3 linked regions of the Sus scrofa genome follow. The protein of the gene in region 1 interacts with the protein of each later gene in a pairwise test. Links are inferred from orthologs where the notes say so. Each region holds a gene or a part of one and is shown in the gene's direction. Other genes may lie near its edges.

The links.
Region 2: the proteins of CDC42EP2 (region 1) and CASS4 interact in binary tests that used the Homo sapiens proteins (3 or more experiments, as listed by UniProt). The link is inferred for Sus scrofa from reciprocal best matches to the Homo sapiens genes CDC42EP2 and CASS4.
Region 3: the proteins of CDC42EP2 (region 1) and ARHGAP26 interact in binary tests that used the Homo sapiens proteins (3 or more experiments, as listed by UniProt). The two-hybrid records come from large-scale screens. The link is inferred for Sus scrofa from reciprocal best matches to the Homo sapiens genes CDC42EP2 and ARHGAP26.

Annotation. Positions count from the first base shown.
Region 1 is NC_010444.4:6,898,424-6,908,794, reverse strand, and holds the start of CDC42EP2 (cdc42 effector protein 2), read left to right. Parts: upstream 1-4,754; 5' UTR 4,755-5,324; intron 5,325-5,960; exon of another isoform or gene 5,961-6,003; intron 6,004-9,862; 5' UTR 9,863-10,165; coding exon 10,166-10,371. UniProt on the Homo sapiens protein: Probably involved in the organization of the actin cytoskeleton. May act downstream of CDC42 to induce actin filament assembly leading to cell shape changes. Induces pseudopodia formation in fibroblasts in a CDC42-dependent manner.
Region 2 is NC_010459.5:57,022,349-57,031,979, forward strand, and holds part of CASS4 (cas scaffolding protein family member 4), read left to right. Parts: intron 1-1,832; coding exon 1,833-1,913; intron 1,914-2,953; coding exon 2,954-4,264; intron 4,265-5,709; coding exon 5,710-5,787; intron 5,788-7,793; coding exon 7,794-8,204; 3' UTR 8,205-9,631. UniProt on the Homo sapiens protein: Docking protein that plays a role in tyrosine kinase-based signaling related to cell adhesion and cell spreading. Regulates PTK2/FAK1 activity, focal adhesion integrity, and cell spreading.
Region 3 is NC_010444.4:144,468,861-144,478,491, forward strand, and holds part of ARHGAP26 (rho GTPase-activating protein 26), read left to right. Parts: intron 1-4,726; coding exon 4,727-4,831; intron 4,832-6,244; coding exon 6,245-6,374; intron 6,375-9,631. UniProt on the Homo sapiens protein: GTPase-activating protein for RHOA and CDC42. Facilitates mitochondrial quality control by promoting Parkin-mediated recruitment of autophagosomes to damaged mitochondria.

The DNA of each region.
Region 1 (10,371 bases):
CCAGTCTCCCATCCACGCTTAGGCCTTTACACACGGCCTGAGAAGTAGCGTTAAAGAGCCAATTTTAGGAGTTCCCGCTGTGGCACAGTGGGTTAAGGATCCGGCATTGTCTCTGCGGCAGTGCAGTTTTCATCCCAGGCCCAGTGCAGTGGGTTAAGGATCTGATGTGCCACACCTATGGCATAGGTTGCAGCTGTGACTCGGATTCCATCCCAGGCCTGGGAGCTTCCAAGTGCGGGGGGGAGGAGCCAGTATTAATAAATGAAATTCTGTTTTATAAATGCTCATTACTTGCAAGGCTTCCATGACAACCGTGGGTGTGTCCGCAAAGATCCCATCCATTCAACAAAGCTAAGAGCAGCCAGCAGCAGGCTCCCTAGGGATCGCTCAGGCCCGGCCAAGTGACACAGTGGCATCTGTGAATGGGGAGAATGACCCGCCTACCTGAGAGCTTACAGAGCGCAGAACTCACCGCCAAGCAGAAATCAGGCTTTGCATGTGGGCATGGTAGGGCCAGAGCTCTGGGTGAGGGCAGGAGTACACACGCAGCAGGAGAAACCAGCACTGGACGGAGCCATGTCACATCCAGGTGGGCTTTAAAAGGTCCCCATGGCATAGATGGTGGTTCCTATGGCTCTGGGCCCTGTTTGAGGGCCCTGGTCTGACAGCCAGGCTGGACAGATTCCTAGTCACCGAGGGAGGGGTCCAGAGGTTGGGTCAGGCTTGGGAGCCGAATCTGTTGCCCATCCCCCAATGCTCAATCTACCTCCCCCTCCCACCCCGCCACCCCCACCCCAACTCTGCAGTTGGTCAAATTGGAGCTGCAGCTGCTGGCCTACACCTCGGCCACAGCAACACAGGATCCAAGTCGTGTCAGAGACCTGCGCCACAGCTCAGAGCAACGCCGGACACTTGATCGGGCCAGGGATCGAACCTGTGTCCTCATGGATACTGGCTGGTTTCGTTGCCACTGAGCCACAACAGGAACTCCCTGGTTCCTGGCTTTGAGTGGCCTTGGATGAGTGTCTTTGCCTCTCCAAGCTTTCATCTCTGTCACTGGTTTGTAATCAGCCCCAAATGGAGCTCCTGATTTTCCCCGAGTTTCCTCCCCCAACAGAGGACACTGGGTGGATGGGCAGAGGTGGGGGCTGCACCTCAGCCTTGTTCCCACGGGTTCAGGGGAGTCTTTATAAAAGTCCTCTTTTCGGAGTTCCCGTCGTGGCTCAGTGGTTAACGAATCCGACTAGGAACCATGAGATTTCGGGTTCCATCCCTGCCCTTCCTCAGTGGGTTAACGATCCGGCGTTGCCGTGAGCTGTGTAGGGTGTAGGGTTGGATCCCGCTTTGCTGTGGCTCTGGCGTAGGCAGGTGGCTGCAGCTCCGATTTGACCCCTAGCCTGGGAACCTCCATATGCCGTGGGAGTGGCCCTAGAAAAGGCAAAAAAAGACCAAAAAAAAAAGTCCCTTTTTCATCCTCAGACTCATTCCAGGTCAGGTGGCAAGGCCAGCTGCCGTCCCCCAGTCACTCCTTGAATAATATTTCCATGAAACTGCTGCCTGCAGGGACAGTGTGTTCCAGTCAACAAAACAAGTTCAAGTCCCTTAGCTTGTTGGGGACGCATGTCATTCCCTTGTTACAGGCAAGGAGGCTCAGAAAGGGACAGTCCTTTTTTTGCCTGTGGCCACAGACTAAGTTAGCAGCAAAGCCAACTCATAACCTGGGGCTTGGGGCTTGGCACTGTGCTGTCCCCGCAACCTGGCTGTGTTGTGAGAGGAGGGGGCAGGGACAATGGTGGAGTGAGAAGCCTGAGCAGGGAGGAGGGCCCAGAGCCAGCCCATCTTGCCACTTCCAGGCTGAGCGGATCACCATCAGTGGCCTGAGCTTTGGTGTCCATTTCTGAAAAGGGGGGTAGTGACACTGACTCTGCCCATCTCACTGGCTCTCAAAGGATTTGAGGAGCTCAGGACAAGAGACCCTTGGTAAGGGGCACAGGTAGGCCTGGGCAGGGGGGTGCATGGCAGAGCCTGGGTGGCAGAAAAGGGAAGAGACACAACCCTTACCCACTCAGCCCACAACTTGGCCCAGGGCCCCTTTCTTTGCTGTCCAGGCCTCAGGTTTCCTCTGAACCTCTAGGGTAGTCCTGGCAGAACCCACCTGACTTGGAGTTCCCGTTGTGGCTCAGCGGGTTAAGAACCCAGCTAGGAGTTCCCATTGCGGCGCAGCAGAAATGAATCCCACTAGGAACCATGAGGTTGCGAGTCTGATTCCTGGCCTCACTCAGTGGATTAAGGATCCGGCGCTGCCATGAGCTGTGGCGTAGGTCACAGACATGGCTCAGATCCTGCGTTGCTGTGGCTGTGGGGTAGGCTGGCAGCTGTAGCTCTGATTCGACCCCTAGCCTGGGGACCTCCATGTGCCATGGGTGTGGCCCTAAAAAGCAAAACAAACAAACAAAAAGAACCCAACTACTATCCATGAGGACTCGGGATCTATCCCTGGCCTCACTCAGTGGGTTAAGGATCCGGAATTGCAGAGAGCTAGGGTGCAGGTTGCAGAGGCGGCTTGGATTTGGCGTGGCTGTGGCTGTGGCCGGCAGTTGCAGCTCCAATTCAACCCCTAGCCTGGGAACTTCCAGATGCTGCAGAAGATACCCTCAAAACCAAAAAAAGAATACACGTGACTGAGTTGAAGGAGGGGCCAGGAAGGTTCAAGGTTAAAATCTGAAACTTTCCGGAGTTCCTGTCATGGCTCAGTGGTTCACGGATCTGTCTAGAAATGATGAGGTTGTGGGTTCGATCCCTGGCCTTGCTCAGTGGGTTCAGGATCCGGTGTTGCTGTGAGCTGTAGGGTAGGTCACAGACGCGGCTCAGATCCCATGTTGCTGTGGCTCTGGCCGAGGCCGGTGGCTACAGCTCCAATTACACCCCTAGCCTGGGAGCCTCCACATGCCGTGGGAGCGGCCCTAGAAAAGGAAAAAAAAAAAAATCTGAAACTTCTCTGTATTCGTTTTCTGCTGCTGCTGTAGAAAATCACCACAAACTTGGCAGCTTAAAACAATACAAATGTATTAACTTACAGCTCTGTGGGTTGGGAGTCCAACCTGAATCTAAAATCAAGAAGTCAGCAGGGCTGTGTTCCTTCTGGAGGCTCTAGGGCAGAGTCTGTTTCCTGGTCTTTTCCAGCTTCTAGAGGCTGCCCGCATTCCTTTGTTTGTGGCCCCTTCCTCCACCTTCAAAGACAGGACATCTCTTTTTTCTTTTTTTTTTTTTTTTTTTTTTGGTCTTTTGTCATTGTTGTTGTTGTTGTTGCTATTTCTTGGGCCGCTCCCGCGGCATATGGAGGTTCCCAGGCTAGGGGTTGAATCGGAGCTGTAGCCACCAGCCTACGCCAGAGCCACAGCAACGAGGGATCCGAGCCGCGTCTGCAACCTACACCACAGCTCACGGCAACGCCGGATCATTAACGCACTGAGCAAGGGCAGGGACCAAACCCGCAACCTCATGGTTCCTAGTCGGATTCGTTAACCACTGCGCCACAACGGGAACTCCAGGACATCTCTTTTTTTGACTCTCCTGCCTCCCTCTTCTACCTTTAAGGACCATTGTTATTACACTGGGCCCGTTCAGACAGTTCAGGATAATCTCTCTAGTTTAGGAGTTCCTGCCATGGCACAGTGGTTAACGAATCCGACTAGGAACCATGAGGTTGCGGGTTCAATCCCTGGCCTTGCTCAGTGGGTTAGGGATCTGGTGTTGCCATGTGCTGTGGTGTAGGTCACAGATGCGGCTCGGGTCCTACATTGCTGTGGCTCTGGCGTAGGCTGGTGGCTACAGCTCTGATTCAACTCCTAGCCTGGGAACCTCCATGTGCCGTGGGAATCGGCCCTAGAAAAGGGGGAAAAAAAAAACTCTCTAGTTTAGAGCCAGTTGAGGAGTTCCCACTGGGGCACAGTGGTTTAAGGATCTGGCATTGACTATGGCAGCTCCAATTTGACCCCTGGCAGGGAACTTCCATATGCCTAGAGTATGGCCGAAAAAAGTAAATAAAGAAAGTAAAGTCAGTTGATTTGTAACTGTAATTGCATGGGCAACCTCAGTTATTATTTTCTATGTAACAAAACTCTGTATTTACAGGTCCCAGAGACTAGGACCGGGACATCTCTGGGGGGGGGCTATCACTCTGCCTACCTGACTCCCTTTCTCCTGATCTTTTCCTCCCCCCCAACTTGGCTGACCCCCACCCCCACCCCCAGCATCCTTCCTCCTTCAGGATGCCTTCCTGACCCTCTCTCCCTAAGAGCCCCTCCCACACGTACAGGATGTACCATCCTGGTCGCAGTGTACTGTCACAGCTGTCACCCGCTCTTCCTAGCACTTGCTCACCTGGCAGAGTATCACTGTGTACTTGGGGACCGGGGCTTCCTCCATCTCCCTTCATTGGACAGTAGGTCCCAGACCAGAGGGGCTGAATCCCCAGCGACAAGAACAGTGTCTGACACTTAATGGATGCCCCCAAAGTATCTGCTCAATCGCTGAACCGGGCAAGGGCTGAGTTCCCTTCAGCCTGCCTGGGTAGGGCCTGCCTTCCAGTAAATGTTTCTAGTAACGAATGAATGAATAAATGAACCAACCAACCTTCCAGCCAATCAACCAACGTTGTAATGAGTCCAAGTGTGGGTCCCACCCCCGCCCCGGAAGCCATCTAGCCGGTTGACAAATATGGGTGTGGCCAGGCCACTCTGCAGGTCCACCCGCAATGCCCCCTTTTCCAGGGAGGGGCAAAACTCCTGAAAGCTCTTGGAAGTTTGTAATATTTTAACGTGAGTGCCTTCGAGGCCTCATTTATTTCTTTAGGAGTCACTGAAGACACTGTGCGGGCGCCTCCCCGACCCAGCCCTCCAGGGAGGGAACTCGTCCAAGGACGCTCTGTGAATTCTGCAGAATTCAGTCTTCCAGCTGCTGCCCTCCCAGAACCGATAGTTTTAGCTCCGACCCGCACAGCCGGAGTTCGAGGAATCCAGTCCGGGCATCGGACGCAGTCTGGCTCGCAGCCGTCAGAGTTTGGACCGGACGCCCGGGCGGGCGTGGCTGTTGGACCCCAGCGCCGCGCCTCCCAAGTGGGAGCCCAGGCTCGCCCCGGAGTGGGGCGGGGCTGTGGGCGGGACCTGATTGCTGCGGCCCCCGCATTGGCTCCACGGATAGGGGGCGGGGCTTCAGGGGCCACGGTGCGCACTGTAAGTTCACAGCCCTAGTCGGTCCCATCGCCGCACGGTCCAGCTCCGGAGATTTTGCCGCCCACCCGTCCGCCGCCTGCGCGCCTCCAGGTGAGTTCAGGTGGGGACTGTGTAGTCCGACCGCGCTCCTGGAGGGTCACTCGAGAGGCCCATCCTGAGGCGCCCTATCGCAGCTCGCGCCCCAGCCCCCGACTTACCTCCACAAGGTCCTTACCCCAGTGCCTCGGGCTCCAAGGTGTTTCTCACCCGAGCCTCGGTCCTGGCAGCCACGCCCGCGCCCCCCTCGGCCTGCGGGGCGCTGCGCATCCCGAACACGAACTCCTGGATCCGCCCTCCACGCTGCGCCAGAGCCCCCGCCCCACCCCCAGGACCCGGGAATGCCCTCCCGCAGCCCAGCTTGGGGTCGTATTTTTAGCCAATGGTGAGGTGTCCTCCTATCTTTAGCCTTAGCCGCGAGTGTCCTGAAACGAATCCGGGCTGAGCTGGGCTGCGCGGGAGAAAGAGGGCGGGGAGGGGTCGGCTCCGGAACCCGAGCTGGGGCTGAGGAGCCCGACCCGCGGAAGCCAGGGGCGTGGGCCGCATGTCCGAGCTCTGGCCCCGCGCCGAGCGGACACTCGGACATCGCCCAAGCTGGAAAGCACGGGGGAGGCTCCTCCCTGAGTTTGGATACCCGGGCAGCGTCCCTGATCGCTCCTTTTCTCCCCTATTGTCTGGTTGTGAGACTAGGGCGCTCCCAAGAGAAGAAGATCCCGCGGACTATCCGCACCTGGTTAGCGAATGTGCAGCTCCTTGGGAGGGAGCTTGCCGGGAGCGCTAGAAGCGCTGGGGACCCCGGTGCGCAAAGGGTCTCCTCCCGGACGCGGGGCAGTAGAGGGAGCGCGCGCGCGCGCCACCTAGTGGCCACGGACCCGAGAACCGCTCCGCCTAGGGACGCTGGGAGACCTCGTGGCCAGCAGGGGAGACTCAGCGCCGACCGACCCTTCCGCCCAGGGGCTGTTCATTTTCGGTCTTGTTTGGAGCGCTGTCCCCAGAGAACCAAAATACTTGAGGAAGCCCTACAGCTATTTGCTGGATAAATAACGGGGCTGACAGTGACCCGCTAACCCTGTCTGTCGCCCATCGGGGCTCTCTCTCACTTGCAGTATGACAGTAGGGTCCCTGGTGTTGGCTTTATTGTCATCCCATTTCATAGATGAGGAAGGTGAGGCCCGGAGAGGAAGGGTCTTGCCCAAGGTTAGAGCGAGTCCTAGGTAGAGATAGATTCAAGGTCAGTCTCCTGATTTGAAGGTCAGAGGTTGGCTTTATTGGCATCCCTGGTGGGGAGTGGCCTAACATTCTTTGTGAAAGGAGAGGCTCTACCTTCAGGAAGTCATTTTCTCTAAAGGAGGCCCAGGGATCCTTCCAGAACAAGCCCACAAAGCTGGGATGGCTCCCTTCTGCTCCTCCCAAAGCTGCAGGGAGCCACCTGTCCCAACACCCCTCTCACTAAGCCTTGTCCTGACAGAGACCTCATTCCCATTTCTCTGCATGCTAGCAAGTTGAGAGAGGGGGCGGCCAAGAGGTAGGAGTTAAATGGTGGTGGCCAGGGATCCAGCGGCCCCGGCCCAGCTGGGAGCCTTTTTCTCTCCTGCTCCCCGTGCAGCTTGCAGATGTTGGCATGGCTCACTGTATCAGAGCCATTGGGACCTAGCTAGGTATCAATGCCCACTCTTCCTCTTACTAGCTGGATGACATTAATAAAGTTACTTAATGTCTCTGAGATTCAGCTTCTGCCTCTGCAGAGGCCAATAATTGCACCCACTATGCTGTGTCTGGGAGCGTTATGATGGAAACCATACTAGGGGAGCTGCAGCCTGGGGTCTGGTGGTTGCTAAATCCGAATTGAATCCTTGGGGCTTGATGATTGCAATTCCCAGCTCTCCCCTGGTGGTTGACAGGGGCCCAACCCTTCCCCCCAGCCTCAGTGCTCTCCACATCTGGAATTGGGTGGGTACATCTGGCTCAGAGCGAGGGAGCTGTCAGGGACGCCAGATCTGTTGTGGAAACACTCAGGCTGTCTTGGCGCCCTTGTAGGATGGAGGGGGGGAAGGCCTGGCCCAAGTTCTGGGCAAATCCCACCACTCAGCCGCCCTCTCCGGGAGTAGAAAGGAAAGAAAAGCTAGCCCAGGACTCCTCGCCTGCCAAGGGGCCAGATAGGCCCCTAGACCTGGCGTGGGGGACACAGATAATTATCTGTTAGATAAATGAATGATGGGATTCCAAGACCTCAGAGCACTCCTGGCCTCCCCCCACCTTCCCCAGCTCCTTCCAAACTTAGCTGGAATTCTGCCACCGGAGACTCATTCTTTTGTTTCCTGTTAAGCTGCAGGTGCTCTGGGAGGGGCAAGATGTCTGGTCTCTGTGGTTCAGCATGACTGACCCGGGATGTCTGGTCCTGGGGTGGGGTTTCCTGAGTGAGGGTCTGGGCTGGGGTGGGAGAGGGAGAGCAGCTGGGACTCTGCCTCTCCTGCATCCTCCTTCCTGCTCCCTCCTGCCCACCCCTCTCACTGCTCAGAATGAAGGATGGGGCAGAGGAACTAGCAGAGGCCTCCCCTCTCCTGCTCCACCTTTCCCCAGCCACTTCCCACCTGCTCAGCCCCAGCCCCCTGGGGTAGGTGGGCTCACCTGGACACCTGCTGGGTGACCTTGGACAAGTTTCTTTGCCTTTTGTGCTCTGATTCTACTATGGGGCCAATCCCCCACCATGGGAACCAGAGGGAGTGCTTGCCTCACTTCCTTTTTCTGTTAAACCCATATGACACCCCTCCAGAGTGTATTTATTTTTTCCACATTAAAAATATCTTTATTTTTTTCTGATTCCGTGAATAACATGCGCTCATAAATAATGCATGCTTCTGGATTTCCCACTGTACAGCAGATCTGGCACTGCCATAGCTATGGCATAGGTCACAAGCGCAGCTGGAATTCGAACCCTGGCCCACTCTGTCACGGATGCAGCCAAGAAATAATAATGACAATAATAATAATAATACCTGCTTCTTATTAAGACTTGGAGTTTACAGGGAGTTCTCTGGTGGTCTAGTGGTTAGGATGAGATGCTTTCACCACTATGGCCCAGGTTTGATCTCAGGTCTGGGAACTGAGATCCCGCATGAAGCCGCTGCACTCTGTGGCCAAAAAAAAATTAAAAAAGAATTTCAGCTTACAAAAGTATGCACAAAAAGGGAAAGTCGCCTGGAATTCTACCACCTTGAAGGAAACACCATCAATGTTTTGGCAACTGTCCTTTCATATTTAACTTACATATATCATTTTTTTTAGTAATGGGACCAGATATTAAAGATATATACACACATATATATATGTATATATATATATTTTTTTTAGGCCCACACCTGTGGCATATGGAGGTTCCCAGGCTAGGGATCGAACAGGAGCTACAGCTACCAGCCTACGCCACAGCCACGGCAACGCCAGATCTGAGCCACGTCTGCGACCTACACCACAGCTCATGGCAACGCCGGATCTTTAACCCACTGAGTGAGGCCAGGGTTTGAACCCGCAATCTCATGGTTCCTAGTTGGATTCTTTTCCGCTGCGCCAGATCGGGACCTCCAGAGATATTATTTATTGAGGACAACTTTCCTCCCATGTCACTGACCCCACACCCCATCCCTGCCCCCCTCCGCAGTCTAGGAGGCATGTATGACAACTTCATGCTGGCCTTCTGTCTTCTTCTCAGTTCCTGTATAAGATATGATCCTATACATCCCTACATGTAGATACACATATATGCATGTGCAGGGAGGGGAGCTGGTCAATGCTTTCAACAAATGGAATCTTCTAGACTACATTTTTGCATTTTGCTTCTCTCCTTCTGCAATGCCTTGTGGGAATCCCTCCAAAATGTCTGATAGCTCTAGTTTTAGAATGGGAATGACAAGAGGGTGGCTGTAATGATGAAATTAGACGTGTTGGCAAAGAACTCAGCAAAATTCAGGCACACAGAGCCCCCACCCCCTCAATATTTGTAACCCTTAGGTGCTAGGGCAGGGGGGAGGGGCAGAAATGACAATAAACTCAGCCCTTGTCCATAAGGCACCCCTAAGCCAGAGGAGAAGAAAAGCAGAAACCCTGAGCAGGTGACCTCACTTCCGCGTAGGATGTGATTGGGCCAAACAGGAGGTGTCTGTCCTCAGGTGCAGTCGGCTGAACACCTGCTGCGAGTCTGGCTCCGTGCCAGGCCTGGGCGGGCAAGACAGGTTGCAAGATCGCCATCCTCCACCAGCTTTGAGACCCCCCAGACAATTTGGCACCAGTCATGCCCTGGGCTCAGTTGAGTGCAAGAGGGATGAGCACCCATGCGACCGTGATGAGCGGAGCTGGGGACTCAGGGCGAGAGACCAGGGCCAGGGCCTTGTGTGTGACTTCAGCCCTGTCACCCAGGTTCTCCACCTGCAGAGGGAGGGCTTGACGCTGGTGATCCAGGCCTTGCGCGCAGTAAGTCTGTGAGGCTCCTGCCGGAGGGGCTTCCCACAGGAGTGCAGCCCCACGTGGGTTCCTGGGGCTGATAAAGGGACCTCTGCCTTTTGTCATCCTGTCCCTGACTTGTACCCTTGGTGTTTCAGCTCCTCGGCCCTGAACCCCGAGAGCATCACGGCCTCCAAGCTCTGTACCTTCCTGCTCCCAGTTTTCAGAAGAGTTTTCAACCCTTTTGGGAGGCAGGGATTTTTGCTGTCTTTACCTTGGACTTCATCGATCGTTGATCTTTTCTGAATTCCTGGGGTCACCTTTGGTTACACCCCACACGCTAGTCTTGGCCCCTTGGCGGGTGTTGCGGGGTCTGGACCCCTCCCTCGGGGTTTCTGGGTGAGGGTGGTGATAACGGACGGTTCCAGCCTTGGCAGCCAGGCCTGGGTGCCGAGGTCGCAATGTCCACCAAGGTGCCCATCTATCTGAAGCGCGGCAGCCGCAAGGGCAAGAAGGAGAAGCTGCGGGACCTGCTGTCCTCCGACATGATCAGCCCGCCGCTGGGGGACTTCCGCCACACCATCCACATCGGCAGCGGCGGCGGCAGCGACATGTTTGGTGACATCTCCTTCCTGCAGGGCAAGTTCCACCTCCTGCCGGGGACGGC
Region 2 (9,631 bases), on another chromosome or scaffold:
GTAAGATAATGCTTCATGTAATCAGAAAAAAACCCTGCCTCATTTCTCAGCCCATCAAAACTGCCCTGTGGCTGCAGGCTGCCCTGTCCAGCTCTGCGCATTGGAGTGGCCTGGGTGCTTTAACCAGGCCTGCTTCCTGGAACCACCCCCGGAGACACTGATGTCTGAGGGCTGGGTGGGCCCTGGGCAGCAGGAATTAAAGGTCCCAGGTGGATCTTGAACGCAGTCAGGGCCAAGATCCATGGCTCTAGTCTCGGTGAAAATTCAGGCTGCCTCTGTGACTTCCTGGTCACTTGCGGGTCGGAAGTCTCAGTGGAGGAGTTTGCAGGTCTCATCCAGGCAGTGCCCAACCTTCCTACTACCTTTGAGCGAAAGGTCCTGCCTCTCGGCTCGTGTGTGGCGCCTGGGCTCCTGCCACAAGGATGGAGGAGCTCACCTGTCACTTGTCTCAGCAGGGTTAGACCTGGTGCACTCTGACCCCAAGCTCAGGTGGCACAACTTCAGTCACAGAAGGTCCTGGTGGGCACTGTCCACTCTGCCCAAAGGCAGTGAAAAGAGTTTCTTCCTTCCCACACTGAGGAGGGCACAGCAGGAGACGCACAGCCCACCTCCCACCCAAGAAACCCCCTCTTTAAATTCCTGCTTTTTCTCTTCCTTTGTAAAATCTGTTTTGGTGCTCTCAGCTCGCTTTGAATGTGTAGCCTATTTTTCACATCCTAATGCATATAGTTCCTCATTGCTGCACACACACAAAATGCCTATTATGTGGATGCGTTCCCATCGTAGCTCAGTGGTAAAAAATCCATGAGGATGTGGGTTCCATCCCTGGCCTCAATCAGTGGGTTAAGGATCCAGCATTGCCCTGAGCTGTGGGGTCGGTTGCAAATGCAGCTCAGATCTGGCGTTGCTGTGGCTGTGGCTCTGTCATAGGCTGGTAGCTGCAGCTCCAAATTTGACCCCTAGTCTGGGAACTTCCATATGCTGTGAGTGCGGCCCTAAAAAGACCAAAAAAAAAATGCCTATTATGTGTACTGGCATCATAGGTGTCATGTCTTTTGCTCATTAATAGGCATGTATACGTCATTCGGCTCAGTGTCTAGTAATTCACCCGCATTCAATAAATATTTTCAGGAGTTCCCGTCATGGCGCAGTGGTTAACGAATCCGACTAGGAACCATGAGGTTTCGGGTTTGGTCCCTGCCCTTGCTCAGTGGGTTTAGGATCCAGCGTTGCCATGAGCTGTGATGTAGGTCACAGACGTGGCTCGGATCCCGCGTTGCTGTGGCTCTGGCGTAGGCTGGCAGCTACAGCTCCGATTCGACCCCTAGCCTGGGAACCTCCATATGCCGCGGGAGTGGCCCTAGAAAAGGCAAAAATGCAGAAAAAAAAAAAAAAAGACAGGAGTTCTCTTGTGGAGCAGTGGGTTAAGGATCCATTGTTGTCACTGCAGTGGCTTGGGTCACTGCTGTGGTGCAGGTTGGAAATACACCCAGTGCAGCACATAATTCCGCCATCCAAACATCATGACTGAAAGCCTCAAAGTCTTCAGTGATTTGTGGGTTTTTTTTGTTTTTGTTTTTTTTTTTTTTTTGGCTGCACCTGCAACATGTGGAAGTTCTCCAGCCAGGGATCAAACCCATGACAGAGCAGCGACCCCAGCTGCCACAGTAGCAACACCAAACCCTTAACCTGCTGGGCCACAAGGGAACTCTTGATTTGTGTTTTCATTGCGGTGGGGGGAGCAGAAGCAATGCTGGACTGGAGAGAGTTTGTGATGTGCAGCCATCAGGAAGGAAAAATCTAAGTTGTCCTCCTGTGTGGTCTTTCCCCAGGAACCAGGGAAGCAGCAGCTCTATGACATACCCCCCAGCCGCCAAAAGGCCACCCTCGGTCCCCTGAGCAGCCAAGCAAATGTAAGTATGACAGATGCTGAGAGCGGGTGCTCTGCAAACCTGAACCGCCCCTGGGAAATGTAATTAACTTGGTCAGCATTAAGACGGCAGCTCCCTCCGAGCAGAACTTACTTCACTGGAGGCAAAACCCATAACTGCAGTGGTTATGCAACAGGACAAGCTGTGTGGTTTGGATATATTTTTTCCATCATTTCCAGATGCCTCAGTTTCTTATTCCAGGTTTATTGGGGATATTGACCTAATTCCTGCAAAGGACCCAGTACAGTGCTTGGCACAGAGCAAGAGCTCAGTAGACTTTAGATAAGTGCTTCTTATGATCATAACACATCTTGGAGACGTGTTGCATTAAAGTGGGTTTTTATTTGTATATCAGGGAGGTGCCTTAATTCGAAATCTGTAAGCCATGTGTATTGACGGATTCTGTCACATGTATACAATAAAAACATACCTGTGCCCAAGGTGGCATCCCAACAGTGTCACAGGAATGCATAGGAGTTTGGTACATGGACAGCAAGGGGTTAGGAGGACATTTGGGGCAGAGGAACCAGTTTGGGCAAAATTAGGGAGTTCCCTGGTGGCTCGGTGGGTTAAGGATCCGGCATTGTCACTGCTATGGCTCAGGTCACTGCTGTGGTTTGGGTTTGATCCCTGGCCTGGGAACCTTCGTGTGCCATGGGCGTTTTCCCCCCCCACCAAAAAAAAAAAAAAAGAGTCACAGATTGGGCAAAATTAAATGTAGTGATATAAGAAGACATTCTTGAGCTCAAGGAAAGGCAAGCAGCCTGGGTGGCTGGACCTTTAAGGAGGTTGGTGGCAGGAGTGGTGGCAGAAGCAGTGGCAAAGAGGCTCCAAAGGGGGCTGGTGGCAGACAGGGAAGGGCTTGAGTGAAGGAGCATGAGCAGGGGAGTGATAATCAGACTTTTAAGAAGCCCAGTGCCCAGTGCTTAGTGGGTCCTCAGTATAATGCACACTGGTCACACCAGTCGCCCACACCCTCTTTGCCTTGCTCTTAAACTGCGTGACTCTGTGGTTCTTCACAGGGGCAGAATGTTCCTCTGACATCAGCCACTGCCTTAAGGAGGGGCGGCTGCAACACGCTACCAAACCCTCAGAAATCGGAATGGATCTATGACACGCCGGTGTCTCTGGAAAAGGCTGGTGTTCAAAAGGCATCGCTGGCCAACTCTGGGGAAGAATTAGGGCACCGCGGCCTCCCCAGGTACATGTCCAGTTTCCACAGCCCTCCCAACAGCATCGCAAGGTCCCACCCTCCACACCCGCAGAAAAATGGTCCCATGCAGAAAAAACTCAGCCTTCCAGAAATTCCTTGTTACAGCTTCCCGCCGCCCAAGTGCATGTTCCCTTTGGATGAAAGTGTCAGCTATAAGGTCCCTTCGAGCTTTCTGATCCCCCGAGTGGAACAGCAGAACACCACGCCCAACATTTATGACGTCCCCAGAGCAATGCCAGATGTTCCCCAGGCGGGGAAAGAGCTGGGAAAAGCCGGCGGGCCGTCAGAGAATTCCGTGGACCACAGTTCCTCGTGGTTCTGCAGCCGGGCAGCATCGCTCTCTCCCGAACCCGACAGCATCTCCGTCTCCAGTTCTGACAGCAGAGCCAGTGTCCTTTCCTCCTGCTCCTCCACGTCCACCGACTCCTCCTCCAGCTCCTTCTCGGAAGAGGCAGCCAAAGAGCTCCCCTTGGACCTGGACTCGGCCAAAGAGACGGTCACGGCTCTGCAGCACAAGGTGGCCAGCTCTGTGTCCAGCCTGATGCACTTTGTCAGTAGGAAGTGGAGATTCAGAGACTCTCTGGAGGCCAACATCGACGCCATCCGCAGGGCCACTGACCGCATAGAGGAGTCCTTGAGAGAATTTCTGGATTTCGCCCACGGAGTCCGTGGGACCGCGGGCAACCTCACCGACAGTAACCTTCAGACCAAGATTAGGGATCAGCTACAGACAATCGCCAACGCCTACCAAATCCTGCTAGAAACGAAGGAGCGCCTGGAGAGCTGCGGCTGGTCCCTGGAAGTCCTTGCAACTGACAAAGTCCAAAACAGCCCGGACGACCTGGAGAGGTTTGTCCTGGTGGCCCGGACGGTCCCTGAAGACATCAAGAGGTTCGCCTCCATCGTCATCGCCAACGGCAGGCTCCTTTTCAAGCCAAACTGTGAGAAGGAAGAGCCTGTGCAGTGGACCCCAAATGCAGAATTTAAGCTTGCGAGACGCATCCAGCTGCCCCAAAAGGAGGGCGAATCATACCAGAGGAAGGCTCCTTTTCAGAAACAAAGGGCAAGTGAACAGCCTCCTGAACTAATAGAGAAAAATAAGACGAATGCCTGTGGACAGGTGAGTGCAAAGTTCCGACTGGGATCCTCTAAGGGGGTGGCCCATTTTTATCTGGAGGGGTCACCAGTAAGTTCCCTGCTGAGAACCTGTCAAGAGTGGTCCCATCTTTAGAGAGACAGGGGTGCCAGTTTCTGGAAGCTAAGATTCATGAAAGTAAAATCCTAGATGCCATCTTATTAAGAAGTAAGACACTTTTTTTTTTTTAATATTAAGGTAGAGGATGCCTTCTAGAAATTTGAGGGTTTCAGGCTGCCTTCTGATGCTAGGATTAGAAAGGCTTTGGGAAATCTTTTGAAATTTGTTCTTTGAGCAGAAATTTTAATCTCACCATCCAGTTTCCTTGCATTTTGGAAAGCTGTAAATTTAGTCATTGTCAGTGTGTTTCTTAGAAACAGAAGAGGGAGTGGAAACCCTTCCAGATTGTGGGTCGTCCCGGCAGTCTCCAGACACGAGTTACTCTCAGAAATACTTGGCTCCCGGTGTTTAGACATGGTGGAAAGAAACCCGTAGTTCAAGAATTGCAAGTGACAGGACCTTGTAAATCAACTATAATAAAAATATAAATCTTTAAAAAAAGGGGAAAAAAAGAAAGAATTGAAAGTCTCAAGAGGTACAGCAGGTAACTTGGGGGTTGTGTCAGGGAGGTAACTTGCAGCTCCAAGTCTTAGTTTTCTGCTGATAGGCCTAGCAGGGCAAAGGTTTTTTTGTTTTTGTTTTTGTTTTTTTTTCCCAGCCCCTCCTCATATGGAAGTTCGCAGGCCAGGGATCAGAGACCTAAGCTGGATCTTCAACCCACTGTACCAGGCTGGGGATCGAACCCGTGTCCCGGTGCTCCCAAGATGCCACCGATCCCACTGCGGCATAGCGGGAAATCCACAAGGGCTTTAACACCCTCTGGAGAAGCGGGACATCTGGATGTTTTTCATTTCCCGTTTAAACTGTGTGTCATTTTATTGGGCCATGCTGGTAGGCAAAATTCAGTGCTCAGGCTGTCAAGGTTGCCCTTGTTGGGAAAAAGCATCAATAAGGCAGAACTATTAACAAAAACACAAGGAGGATGCAGGGCGCTTAAAGTGGACGTAACCAGGAGTTCCCGTCGTGGCGCAGTGGTTAACGAACCATGAGGTTGCGGGTTTGGTCCCTGCCCTTGCTCAGTGGGTTAAGGATCCAGCGTTGCCACGAGCTGTGGTGTAGGTCGCAGATGCAGCTCAGGTCCCTCGTTGATGTGGCTCTGGTGTAGGCCGGCGGCTACAGCTCCGATTCGACCCCTAGCCTGGGAACCTCCATATGCCGCGGGAGCGGCCCTAGAAAAGGCAAAAAGACAATAGATAAATAAATAAATAAATAAATAAATAAATAAATAAATAAATAAAGTGGACGTAACCAGCTACGCAGTTGTGTAAAGACCATTCTAGTTGGTAATTCGAAGGGATTTTATTTTTCAGAAGTTGCCTCACCTAGAAGAGAAAGAAAAACCCATCTTGGAACAAAGGGTGGATGAAAAGAAAGACTTAGAAACACAGGTAAGCAATGACTTTTACTCTCTAATACTTTTAGTATTCACTCTCTAATACTTTTAGTTTTTTTCTTCCTTTTAGGGCCACTCTGGAAGCATATGAAGTTCCCATGCTAGGGGTCTAATCAGCTGTAGCTGCCAGCCTACGCCACAGCCACAGCAATGTGGGATCTGAGCCACGTCTGTGACCCACACCACAGCTCATGGCAACGCCGAATCCTTAACCCACTGGGCGAGGGATCGAACCCAAAACCTCGTGGTTCCTAGTTGGATTCACTTCCACTTCACCACGACGGGAACTCCAGCATGCACAGTTTAATAGAAAGAATGTTTCAGACCTGCTGGCTAGGCTAAAAGCTCCACATCTTCATTTTGCTAACTGAGTGACCCGAGGCAGGCTTTTCTCTTCAGGCACCTCAGTGTCCTTAGCTATAACCTAACGAAAGGACTTTGGGTTTTTTTGTTGTTGTTTGGGGTTTTTTTGGCTGCACCAGTGGCATGCGGAAGTTCCCAGGCTAGGGATCAAACCTGTGCCACAGCTATGACCAGAGCTACAGAAGTGAAAATGCCAGATCCTTAACCCACTGAGCCGCAAGGGAACTCCCCAAAAGGGCTTTTGATTGTTACCTGGGATGGTTGCCACTAAGTTAGATGCTGAGACTCTTTCGCTAGTGCACAGGCTTTGGTTCCACATTCCAGAAAATAAAATTCATGAAAGCAAATTCTAAATGAAACTTTTTTAGTGCGTAAGATGAATAGTTTAATATTAAAGCAGATAGGTCGGTTTATTTTGATTTCTTCTGAAAATGTGGGGTTTTCAGGTTTACCTCTAATACTAGAATTAGGAAGGATTTTTTTTTTTTTTTTTTTAAGGCCGCATCCGTGGCTTTTGGAAGTTCCTGGGCCGGGGATTGAATCCAAGCCCCGAATGTGGCAACGTGGGATCCCAACCCACGCAGGCTGAGGATCGAATCCCTGCCTCCACAGTGACCTGAGCCACTGAAGTCAGATTCTTAACCCCCTGCACCATGGCAGGAACTCCAGGAAGGATTTTAAAAATGCTTTAAGGGAGTTCCCGTCATGGTGCAGTGGTTAACGAATCCGACTAGGAACCATGAGGTTGCGGGTTCGGTCCCTGCCCTTGCTCAGTGGGTTAACAATCTGGCGTTGCCGTGAGCTGTGGTGTAGGTTGCAGATGCGGCTCGGATCCCGCGTTGCTGTGGCTCTGGTGTAGGCCAGAGACTACAGCTCCAATTAGACCCCTAGCCTGGGAACCTCCATATGCCACGGGAGCAGCCTAAGAAATAGCAAAAAGACAAAAAAAAAAAAAAAAAAAAAAAAAAAAAGCTTTAAAATCCGTTCTTTGAGTAAATTTTAAAATCTCGCCATCAAGTTTTCTGCATTTTTTTTTTTTTTTTTTTTGTCTTTTCTAGGGCCACTTCCGCGGCATATGGAGATTCCCAGGCTAGGGGTCTAATGGGAGCCATAGTCACGGGCCTAAGCCAGAGCCACAGCAACGTGGGATCTGAGCCGTGTCTTTGACCTACACCACAGCTCACGGCAACGCCAGATCCTTAACCCACTGAGCAAGGCCAGGGATCAAACCCGCAACCTCATGGTTCCTAGTCAGATTCGTTAACCACTGCGCCACGACGGGAACTCCTGCATTTTTTTTAAAGTTATGAATTTAGTCATTGTCTATGAGTTTCTTAGGATGGGTTTCTAATGGTTTGTCGAGAGGACTGAGTGAGATTTTACATGTATATAATATGTATGATTATATGTAATGTCGTATATGATTATGTAGATATGAAATGATTTATACATAACAGTGTTTGAAGACATTCATGTTCCTTTGTTAGGCAAATGTGGCACAGCGAGACTTCTAAACAAAACAGTCCTCTTTCTCATAAAAAGTCTAGCTAATTGAGCAAAAACAGGAAAAGGGAGGCAACCACAGCCTGTCGATCAAATCTCTCTCTTATCGTTTTTTTTTTTTAACCTCTTCTCTAGAATCCAGGCTCCCTGATCCCCCGGCCTTTGAGCCAGCAGAATCCCGAGAAGAGAATCCACCTCTCGGAACACTGCCGGCTCTACTTTGGGGCGCTGCTGAAAGCCATCGGCGTGTTGAACGGCAGCCTCAGCAACAGGCAGCCCCCCGAGACCTTCATCACGCAGAGCAAGCTGATCATCATGGTGGGGCAGAAGCTGGTGGACACGCTCTGCAAGGAGACCCAGGAGAGGGACTTTCGCAACGAGATCCTCTGTGGCAGCAGCCACCTCTGCAGCCTGCTCAGGAACCTGGCGCTGGCCACCAAGCACGCCGTGCTGGAGTACCCAAGCCCCGCAGCCCTGGGCCATCTCCAGGCTGAGGCCAGGAAGCTGGAGCAGCACACGCAGCAATTCAGAGGGACCTTGGAATGAGCCTCCCCTCCCCTCCTTCCCCGGGCAACCCCTCGGCTTCCAAGGCACACCAACAACCTGCAAGGCTGTCCTACGGGAAAAGCCAGACTGGGGACGCACACAGCAGGTGGCAACAGCCAGAACCAGTATCACCAAGCAGCCATGCAACCCCAGGACCCTGGCTTCATCCCACAGAGTCAGGGAAACGAGTCAGGTGTTAAGCAAAGACCTTGCTAAGTTTGTAGCACATCCTGTAGGGTCGGCGTGTGAAATGAGGCTGTAGAAACCAGTTTTTATATTGCCTAAAGGTGTGCCTTTTGTATTTTATTTTATTTTGTCTTTTTGGGGCGGCATCCACAGCACATGGAGGTTCCCAGGCTAGGGGTCCATTTAGAGCTACAGCTGCCAGCCTACGCTACAGCCACAGCAACACAGGATCCGAGCCATGTCTTCGACCCACACCACAGCTCACGGCAACGCCGGATCCTTAACCCACTGATGGAGGCTAGGAATCAAACCTGTGTCCTCATGGATGCTAGTCAGATTCGTTTCTGCTGAGCAACGACAGGAACTCCCAGGTGTGCCTGTTTTAAATTCATTCATTCAGACCTTATTTTTTGCGTACCCACACCCTATGTCAAGTTCTAGGTTTCGGGCAGAGAGCACTGATTCACACAGCGGCTTTGTCCTCAGGAAGCTTACAATCTGGTGGAGAGACAGACAAATAGTGAAGAAATACATAGACAGTGTATTAGGGAAAAAAGTGGGAGGAGGGAGGAAAGCTTCTTTTCAAATGATTACTTTCTGCATCTGCTAGAAAATGTGACAAGATTTTCGTCTTGGATTGAATTAATTCCGTGAGATTGGTGCCATTTACGTATCTGCATCTTACACCCCCCCCAAAATTTTTTTTGCAATTGTATTTTAGCTGAGTTAAAGAAGCATGCTATATTTGCAACGGGACATGTCCCGTTGGGTTTCTTATTTATTTTGTACATGATAGGTTCTGTGTTGATAAATTCAGCAGACTCAGAAAGATTTATACCTCAATCTGTTACTGTTTATAATATTGTGTAAATATCGTCATGACCTGAGACATCCTTTGCAGCAATCTTTTCTCTGGAAAAGTCTCTGATCTGTGTCACTTGGGCGCAGGTACCAAAGCAAAATGTTTACTCGTGGCATTCAAACGCATCTCCCTGGAGAGGCAGGTGAAGCCAGGTTCACACACGCAAGGCTGCTTGGGAAAAGCAAAGCCAGGAAGTGTGGTAGGAGCAGGGTCCCTATCGCCAGGCCCAGATCTGAAATCGGCCCAGAGCTCCCCCCAAGTCAAACCACCTCCTCTTCCTCTCCGTGCAGCTGGGACTTTAGCTCGCGTTGCTATGGTTACACCATCCCCACTTCACACTACAGGTAAAGGTCCATGTTTTCTATGGGCATCTCAGCCA
Region 3 (9,631 bases), about 140 Mb from region 1:
ACCCGCAACCTCATGGTTCCTAGTTGGATTCGTTTCTGCTGCGCCACGATGGGAACTCCCTACTTGTTTTCATATAGTATAGTTTTGTTAGACCTAAAAAAGTTTGCTTTCTGACCATCATAGAAAGTGCTGGCAACCCAGCTGCTCTGTGTGAGGAGCTGACAGCCTCCTTGGAGACGCAGTGATGTGGTCAAGAACGAGCCAAGGTAGCGAGCAGTTCCGTGCCAGCTTGGACAGAATGGAGGTACCAGAGGGATTTGAAAAGCAGAAACCCATTGTGGTTGGCAGATGTTTTCCAGGTCATCAAGGCAGGTGTCTGGAGAGCTAGTGAAATTTCTGTTCTCGCGTTAGAATGAAGAGAAGGTGATGGGCACTTGGCCTGAGGGAAGTTGAGGCAGTGGGCTGAGAGGCTGGATGCAGGCCTGTATCCCTTCGCTTTCCTGCAGAAGCTCTTGTTTCGGGACACACCAGTTGATGGGCAGGGAGTGGCCGGAGCTGTGGACCGGGGAGAAGAAGCAGCTCCTGGCCAGCTCAGTGTTTCTCGAAGTTTCTAAGGAAACCCCAATTCTCAGGCTCTACCCTAGACTTGAAATGTGGGGGTGGGGCCCGGTCCTGAGCCCTCCTGGCAATTCTGCTCCACTGACCTGAATTGCCCACAAGGACAAGAAGTAAGAGTCGAGGGTATCAGCCGAAACCGGTCCCGTTCTGTGTTAGTAATAAGCTAATAAGCGCTTTACCCACAGTAGGTGGTTCTGTCCTTATCTCTGGGGGTAGGTCCTGTCTTTGTTTTCAGATAAAGAAATGGAAGTGCATTTATTTCTTCTCCAAGGTCACATCTCGTCAGCGGCAGAGCTGTAATGGTTTGTCCCTTCATCTCTATGAAACATCATGTGGCTTCTTACAAGTGGAAAGGAATCCAGCAAGAAATCAAGTGACCTAAATTGCGGGGTGCCTGGTGCGGGTTTTCACATGTTGGGGTGCAGTCAAGGGAACCGTCCAGCTGTTCAGGGAACCTCCAAGTACATTGGCTCTGTTCAGCTGCTTTTTAGAAAGTGACTTCAGGTACCAGGATGTGGTTGCCTTGCAGAAAAAAGAAACACAATTTTAGTGTGCCAAGGAAGAGGAATCAGACTTCGGGTGTTTGGGGCCCTGGAAACCTTCATTTTCTTGTCGAGAAAGTAAATGTTCTGGAGATGGGCATTGCACTTAATGACACAGTGGCTTCCTGAAGATAAAGCCGCGTTCGGTCTGTTCCCTGAGTGTTCCTAACTGAAGGTTACCTAGAGCTGCCGAGAGCTTGCTCCACATTCGTCAGGCTCCACAAGCTGAGTTTTGCCTCCTGAATGCTTCTGGATGTCTGCTTTTCTGTCCTTTCTCAATGCTTCTGCCCCGCTGCAGGCTGTCATTCTTTCTCTTGGGTCAGTGGCATCCTGTCCTGACACTGTCCCCACAGCGTCTCTGCCGACATGTCCCCCTGAGGCTCGCTGTCTTGCCCAGCAGCTCCGGCCAGCACTCCTGGCCTAAACCCGTCACAGAGATGCTCTGTCTTTCCCACACCCCACGGAGGAACAGGTGCAAAGGAAGGTCTAGGGAGCTGCCTGGCGACCCTGGCCAGCTCTTCCTCCCCACGCTGGCTGCCGCCTTCTCTTTGCTGTGTGAACAGCTGGGTTCTGGTAGCTGCTCTGGCTGCTGTAACAAAGCACCACGAGCTGGGTGCCTCAGCACAACGGAGATACATTAGGCCATAGCTCTAGAGGCTGGAAGTCTGAGGTCAAGGTCAGCGGGGCCCTTGCCTCCCCTGAAACCTGTAAAGAAAGAATCTCTCCTTCCGTCTTCCTAGCTCCTGGTGGCTGGTCAGCGGTGGTCAGCATCCCTCGCTTGACCGAGGCACCGTTTCAGTCCTCATCCTCACTGGACTGTCCTCTCTCTGTGTTTGTGGCTCTGTCCAATCCCGCCCCCCACCCCATTTTAAGGACCGATTGGCTTTGGTTAGGGCCTACTGGGTTTATGCTAACTTGATTGCCGCTGTACAGACCCTGTTTCCACGTGACGTCACATTCCGAAATACTGGGGCTCATGACTTCCTATCTTTGGGAGCATAGGGGACCCAATACAGCCCATAGCAGTAGCTCTGTTCTATGCACGGAAACCTAAATTTGTCAGATAGTCCAGAGTGATGCAGCCACCACGAAGAAAGCAGTTATGTTTGTGTTTATGATTATTTTAAACATCTGTGTTATCATCTAGGAAATAGGAGAGAGATTTTTCTTCCAGTTGTGCTCAGAGGACAACAAGGATGGGAAAGGAAGAAGGCCAGGCGAGGTGGGAAGACCTCTCTGTCCTTGTTTCCTTGGTCTGCTGTCGGGGGAGGAAGCCGGGGGACGTACTGGCTTCTCTTACCTGACAGCCAGGTGAGAATCAGCAAGCGCTTCTCCGGGGGTACGAGCAGAGGCGTTTCTCTGAGGCAGACAGGTCCTTGGTCGCGGGGTCCTTCTCTGGGCCTTGCCCCGCCCCCTGAGCTGTGGGCTTTGATTTCCCGCATTCAAAGCTTCATACACTGTGGAGGGGGTGAGTGTCAGGAGGTGGGGGCAGAGAGGAAAGATGCTTTGAGGGGAGCAGGAAGGGGGGTGGGCCAAAGATGACAACCCCGAAGGCATCACTTCCCGTAGGAAAGTGGACAATCGGGCCTGATACCAAAGGAAGTGAAAACCCAAATAAATACTCACCACGCTCTGCCTCTGGAGCGCTCGGGTGCACGCCCAGGTGGCATCTTCGTGAGACAGCGAATTACCCGAGTGGGAGGCCCTGCTGACTGTGAGTGAGGGACACGCCAGGAGTTAATAGGAGGAGTGACTTATCTTCCGCATTATTCTTCCGTCGAGGGTGACTCAGTGCCTTGGGAAGGTGACAGGGCACGGCCTCCAGGGACAACGGGGGGGAGAGAGAGAAAGGACGGTTGTCCTTGTGACTGCCGGCCCCTAGATGTGGCAGAAGAGCCACTTCTTGTCCATGGCTGAGCCATTTGGAAGGCAGAATATGGGCCTTGTGCTCAAAAGTGTCCTTTACAGAGAAGACGTCCAAAGACTTTGAAGGAGAGAGTTCACGCCTGGTCTTTGGTGCCTGTCTGTGGCTTTGGTTCCTTGATGTAGGTTAGGGATGCATCGGTGATGCCACCCGGTGCTTTTATAGCCGGAGGACCCAGCAATGCCTTTGAGGCTCTTAGGGAACAGACACTCACTCCAGAGCCAGTGGCAGCAGGAAGTCAGGGGACCGTCTGGTTTGAAGCGGGGTGTGGTCCAACTTCGCAATGCAGACCCTCTTTGATAAAGTGGGCTGGGCCTGTGGCTTTGTCGGAAGACCGCTCTCTCCTCTGGGCTCCGCTGGGGGAGCAGGTGCCTCGGTGCTTTCACCATTCCTGCCACAGCCGAGTGTGCGGACCTGTCACGGCTGTGATTAGCCCTGCTTCTTGGGAGAGCTGGGTTAGAGGCGAAACTTTGTGAGCCTATGTTCACAAAGTAAAGGCACCTTCATTGAGGGGCTAGCAAGAGAAACACCCCAACATAAAGCGAAGCAGCTGCGTCTTGAGGTCACACGTGTTTGAGGCAGCGCAGAGGGCTCCACGCAGATGATGCGAGTTGGCCTTGAGAAGTTCAAGTGCCCGTGGGGCCAAGTCCTCACATGTGGTAGAACTGGGCTTGTCAGAAAGCGAAGGTTCTGGGTCTTCAAGCCTTGTTCAGGCTTTAATCGTCTTCCTTCCTTTAGGTGGAGATTTGGGACCGAGACAAACTGTGTAGCACTTAGGAGGCCTGGCAGGGGAGGCACCAGTGAGGTTTCCACACAGGCACCGGGAGGACAGCCCGGGCACGGGGAGGAGAGACCGCAAGGACGTTTAGTTGGCTTGGAGAAGAGAAGGCTGGCAGGGGCCCGGGGTGGGACGGGAAGGGTTTTTAAGTATCCGAAGGTGTATTGTGAGAATGGGGGTGAGCAGATGCTTGCACTCTTCACGGAAGACAAGACCAAACAGGGAGTGGACTCACCTTTGGCCCTGAGGCTAAAGCACCTTAACGGGAAACCTGGGACCACGGGGTTATTGTAACAAAGGGATCCAGAGTGTTCGCTTTTGCATAGTTTAGGGAAAGTGCAGAAACACACTTGAGCTGACGTCCAACATGGATAATTGTCTTTGATCTGCTTTGCCTGTTCGACTCTGCTTGCTCAGGACGCTCCAGCTTCCTTTTTCCTCCCTCCCTTGTGGGTTATCAATGTAACTACGCCCTTTGGTATGAGAACCTGGTGTTATGAATACACCAGAAGGAGACTGACCGCGTTGGAGCCCTGGTCTTCGGTTTCTGAGGAAGTGATTTTCTTAGAAGGGGCGAGGCTCTCAGGGTAAGAGCTTGTTGGGTGTTGTTGCCAAGGAGACGTGGCTTTAAATCCTGGCTGCCACTTACTGTGTGTTTTGGGGCAAGTTACTTAACCTCTCTGGATCTACTTCGTTATCATTCCAATGGAGCAAACCGTAGTTTTCATTTCATAGGTTGTCATGAATGTGCAGTGAGACACAGCATGTGACGTTCCCGTGCCTGGCGTTTAAGAAGCGCTTTGTAAACGATAGCTGTTATCGTTCCTTTATTCTCAACTCACACCAGGGCTGGGAACTCAGGTCAGCTCCGTAGAACCTCTTGAACCCGCTTATGTGAGCCCTGTCCTTCTGCCTTCATTGCAGCTACTGGCTTTCCTGCAAGGCCTCTTCACCTTCTATCACCATGGGTATGAGCTGGCCAAGGACTTCAGTGACTTCAAGACGCAGTTGACGATCAGCATCCAGAACGTGAGTGGCTGAGGGGCCAGGCCTGCCTTCCCTGGTTAAGGAAAGGAAAAAACACCCCAGGAGTCTGGCGGCAGAGATCCCTTAAACAGACCGACATGCAGGTGGGGGTAGGGGGTGGGTCTTGCGTCTTGCTTGGTTTCCACGGGCAGCGGGGCGGGCCTTTCCAGGGTGCGTGGTGGTCCCGGGGGGAGCGTCATCCCCCCCCCATTATTTCAGAGCGCTATTTATGTTCCCGGAAGTGCTGCTGCCGATTGTGTTTAAAGCTGTAGCGCCAGAGTCAGAATTTCCTTTGGCAGTGAGAGGCCCAGCCCTGCCCAGCCCAGCCTCCCTCCTGCACATCGAGCTCCGGGCCACACACACCTCAGAGAGCGTGTCCAGGGCCTGGGCGTGGGGCACACACGCTGGCCTCTGGCTTCAAGGATGCGCTCCGTTCGCCTCTCGGCGAGGCTGCCAGGAAACCCAAATCAGTGCGCCTTGTGCCCTGTCTCCTCTGCCCGGTTTTAAACAGCAGGACCTGTGGGTGCACAGAGCCCTGCTCAGGACTCTGGCCAGCAGTCACGGGCTCCATCCCCTCCTCACTGGGTGACGGGGCCCCATGAGGCTGCATGGGGTCCAGGTGCGTCCCTGGGGGTGGGCCGTGTGCTTTCGGAGGCCCACCTTGCCCCCTCCTGGTTCTCTGTGTCGCCTCTGGGAACAGGAAGCTGCAGAGTCCCGGAGGAGCTTCCACTAAGCGTGGCTTCCCCTTGGGCGGGCTCCTCCGAAGGCAAACCCTCGAGCGGAGGTTTACACGAAGCGGGTGCACAGGAAGCAGGGTTTGCAAGAAGCGAGGGAGGAGGGCAGAAGCTGAGCGGCGAGCTGGTTGTGGAGAGGCCTCAGTTGTGGCCATGGGCCTCCTGGCGCTGGGATGGTCCCCCCCCCCCCCCTTATGGCCCTTGGCTTTGCCTGTTTCTAGGCTGCCCGGGGGCGGGAGCGATTGAGCCAAGAAGCTCCATTTGAGGAGGGAGCCATCAGCAAACAGGTGGAGAAAGGGCATCTGGGTCCTGAAAGAGGAGGAGGGCAGGCCCCCCTGTGTAACGGCTCAGTTGGAGTTGCCCGGGATGCTTGGTGCAAAAGCACCTTTCTGGGTTGAGAGGCCCTAAATTGATCTCTGGGGTGAGGACTGGCCGCTTGCATTTTCTGCCAGTTCTGCAGGTGGTTTCCATGGTGCCCACCAGAGTTTGAGGGTCATTCCAGGATGGGACTTGAAGACCAGCGTCTCCTTCTTAAAAGTGGACATTTGCCACATGCCTAGACGGCTGCATGTTCCCCGCCTGGGTTTAGATCTGGGGATTCTGTGGGCTGATGCTCCAAAGCGCTAGAGAGGGGAACATGGGTTCATGGCTTGGATTTGAATGAAAACGCCTCTCATCCTAGACAAGAAACCGCTTTGAAGGCACCAGGTCGGAAGTGGAATCGCTGATGAGGAAGATGAAGGAGAATCCCCTCGAGCACAAGACCATCAGTCCCTACACCATGGAAGGGTACCTCTACGTCCAGGAGAAACGTGAGTGCCGGGCTCGGCCGGCGGCCCCTTGCCCAGGAGCGGGAGGGTGTGTCCATTCGTGCCTGGCCTGGGGGACATCCTTGGAAGGAAGAGGGGGGTCCTGTTATAAGTCGGTTTCCTCCGGGAGAGATGCCATTCCAAGGGCTTGCCTCCCTCCACGCGGCGTGCTCTGTTTTCTTGTCCCCGGGAATTTTGCAGCCTGGAAATCACTGAGGCTCTGTGGTGCTCCCTCTCTCCCTGGTGTCACTCCACTCTGTACCCTCAGTTTAGCTTTATCTGCCTCATCCTTGGCAGAGAGGCCTTGGAAAGGGCTGGCATGCTGGACTGTTTTGTCCTATCCTTTGGTAGACTTAGCAGTTGGTGATTTTATTTGTCTGTCTGTCTATCTCTCTGTCTCTCTATTTTTTTAGGACTGCACCCACAGCTTATGGAAGTTCCCAGGCTAGGGGTTGAATCGGAGCTACAGCTGCTGGTCTACACCATGGGCACAGCAACGTGAGGTCTGAGTGCCTCTGTGACCTACACCACAGCTCATGGCAGTGCTGTATCCTTAACTTGCTGAGCGAGGCCAGGGATTGAACCTGCATCCTCATGGATACTGGTTGGGTTCGTAACCCTCTGAGCCTCGACGAGAGCTCCCTGGTGATTTTATTTTTATTTGAGACTTGTTTCATCAAGACCCAAACAATCATGACCTAGGCCCTTGCCTTCCTCGCCTCAACTCCCGTCATCCCCACACTTAAATTTTATGCACAGTAGACACAAAAGCTCACTTCAAGAGCCAGGGAGGTGCTCCCTTGACTTGCCCATAGGACGTCAAAGAACGAACTGCGAGGTGCTGCCAGCCCGGGGTTTGCAGTGATGGCTTAGATTCGCGTGCTGGGCTGTGGCACTTCCCAGACTTAACTCATGCGCCAGGTGCTAGAGATGAAAGAAAATGCCCTGGTTTTCTCTAATAGATAGTTCTCCTGGTCATCTCCCACCTGCGCCTGCTGGCCGGGCGCTGCTGTTTTGGGATTAGTCAAAGATCTTCACCCCAGAAGCGTCCTCATGGAATAAAACACTTCGTTTCGGGGACTCTCCTATTTAGGGATTACTCAAAAATTTGGGCTTGGGCTTGAAATTGGTCCCTGGTGTCAGCGGTCCATAAGGGCATTGGAGGTTGGAGCATCAGTTGTGATGAGACTTTGATGTCCCTCATTCTTACAGATATGAGCTTGTGAAGGTCTGTGAGGCATAGCAGCTACTTTAGTTGTGTGTTATTCTTGAGTAGATGGTGATTGTCTTCTTTGCCCAGTGAGAAGATCAACCCCAAACGTTTTTTTTAAGTCGACTTGAAAATAAAATTTTTTAGGGCTATAAAAATCCAGTCCAGGGTCCACCTGTAATAATGAACTTACTAATATTGGTCACTTGCATGTGAAGTCCGTGTGGGCACTCACTTTACCTGATGCCGTTTTATTCATGCTCTTCCAGCATCGATGTCTTGAATGCCGTTAGGGCTGCATTTTGATGCTCTAACACAGGCGTCTAGAGCACATCGTTGGGATACGGCTCTTTGTATGGACATGTTGGTAACTTACCATTTTGAAATCATCTCACATTTACAGAAAAGTTTCAAGGATAGTGTAAAGAACAACCATATGACCTGGATCCACTTTTTTTTTTTTTTTTTACCATTTTCCCACAGTTAGACAATTTTTCTCTCTTTGTAAGAATGTGTGCATATCACACACACACAGTGTAATTTTTTTCTGAGCCTTGTGGGAACAGGTTGGATCCATCACACTCCTTGACTTCAGTGTGTATTTTCTCAAACTGTTCCTTTATGTAACCACAGTTACGCATCCGGGAAATGTAGCATTGATAAGATATTTAATCTAAATGATGTTCCAGGAGTTTGCTCTGTGGTGCAGTGGGTGAGAGATCTGGTGTTGCCACAGCTGTGGCATAGGTTGCGACAGTGGCTCAGATTCGATCCCTGGCCTAGGAACTTCCGTGTGCCTTGGGTGCGGTCCAAAGAAAAGAAAAAAAAAAAAAAAAAAGAAATGACATTCCACATTCCTATTTTTGTCAGGTGTCCCAGTGATGCTTGCTTTTTTTTTTTTTTGGCTTTTTTAGGGCTGCATGTGGAAGTTCCAGGCTAGGGGTCGAATCAGAGCTACAGCTCCCTGCCTGCACCAGATCCGAGCCACATCTGCAGCCTACACCACAGCTCCCAGCAACGCTAGATCCTTGAACCCACTGAGCAGGGCCAGGATCCAACCTACGTCCTCACAGATACTAGTTGGGTCCGTTTCCTCTGAGCCACCATGGGAACTCCCCCAGGGATGCTCTCACAAAGCATTGGTTTTCCTCCAGTACACGCTCTTATACAGCAATTGGTTATCTTATGGCAGCGTCAGCCTCCTTTAATGGAAAACAGTTCCGCAGATTTTTCTTGTCTGAGATGCCTGACGTCTTGGAAGAATATAAGGCCGATTCTTTTATAGAATTTTGTTCTTTGTGGGTTTGTCTCGTGTTTCCCCATGATTGGATTCAGGTCCTCCATCTCCGGCCAAAGCCTACCTGAGTCCTGCCGTGTTCTTCCTGGGTACCACATCTGGAGGGAAGGCTGGCCCTCTGCCCTCCCTGGTCTGGTGGAGTTGCCTCCCTCCGTCAAGGCACCGTCTGCTTTTCCCACTGGGCAGTAGCTGTGTTTCCCTTGTAACTGATGAACAGTCTGGGGAGACGCCCTCAGCCTGGGTCCTTCCTTCGTCAGACGTTGCCCGCCGTGGCGTTAGCATCCTTGGCAGCCCTGACTGAGCTGAGCTTGACTGTGCTGGCTGCACAATGACGATCGCCCGGCTTTGCCCCACTCTCCCCGTTTCTTAGTTGACTTTCAGTGTCGGGTAAAGAATCATCCCCCTCTTCCTCCCTGCCTCCCTTCTTCCCTTTCTTTTATTCTTTCTATCCATCCTTTTTTCTCTTGTCAGCATGGACTTAGAGGTTCCCATTTGTCTTCCTTAGGCTAAATCCATTACTGTCATTATTTATCACGTTGGCAAGGTGTTCAGGCTACAGTACTTTGGGAGTCTTTGTGCTGTCACTGGAATTCACTCTTTCAGCCACAAAAAGACGGTAGCATGCTGTATCTTCATTTGTCCCTGATGCTGCAGTGTAGACACTTAGGCAGTTGCTTTTTAGATCTACTGAGCGACATCCAGCACTCGCATTGGGCTTTAACACCCTGAAAAATACCTATTAAATGTCGTCTT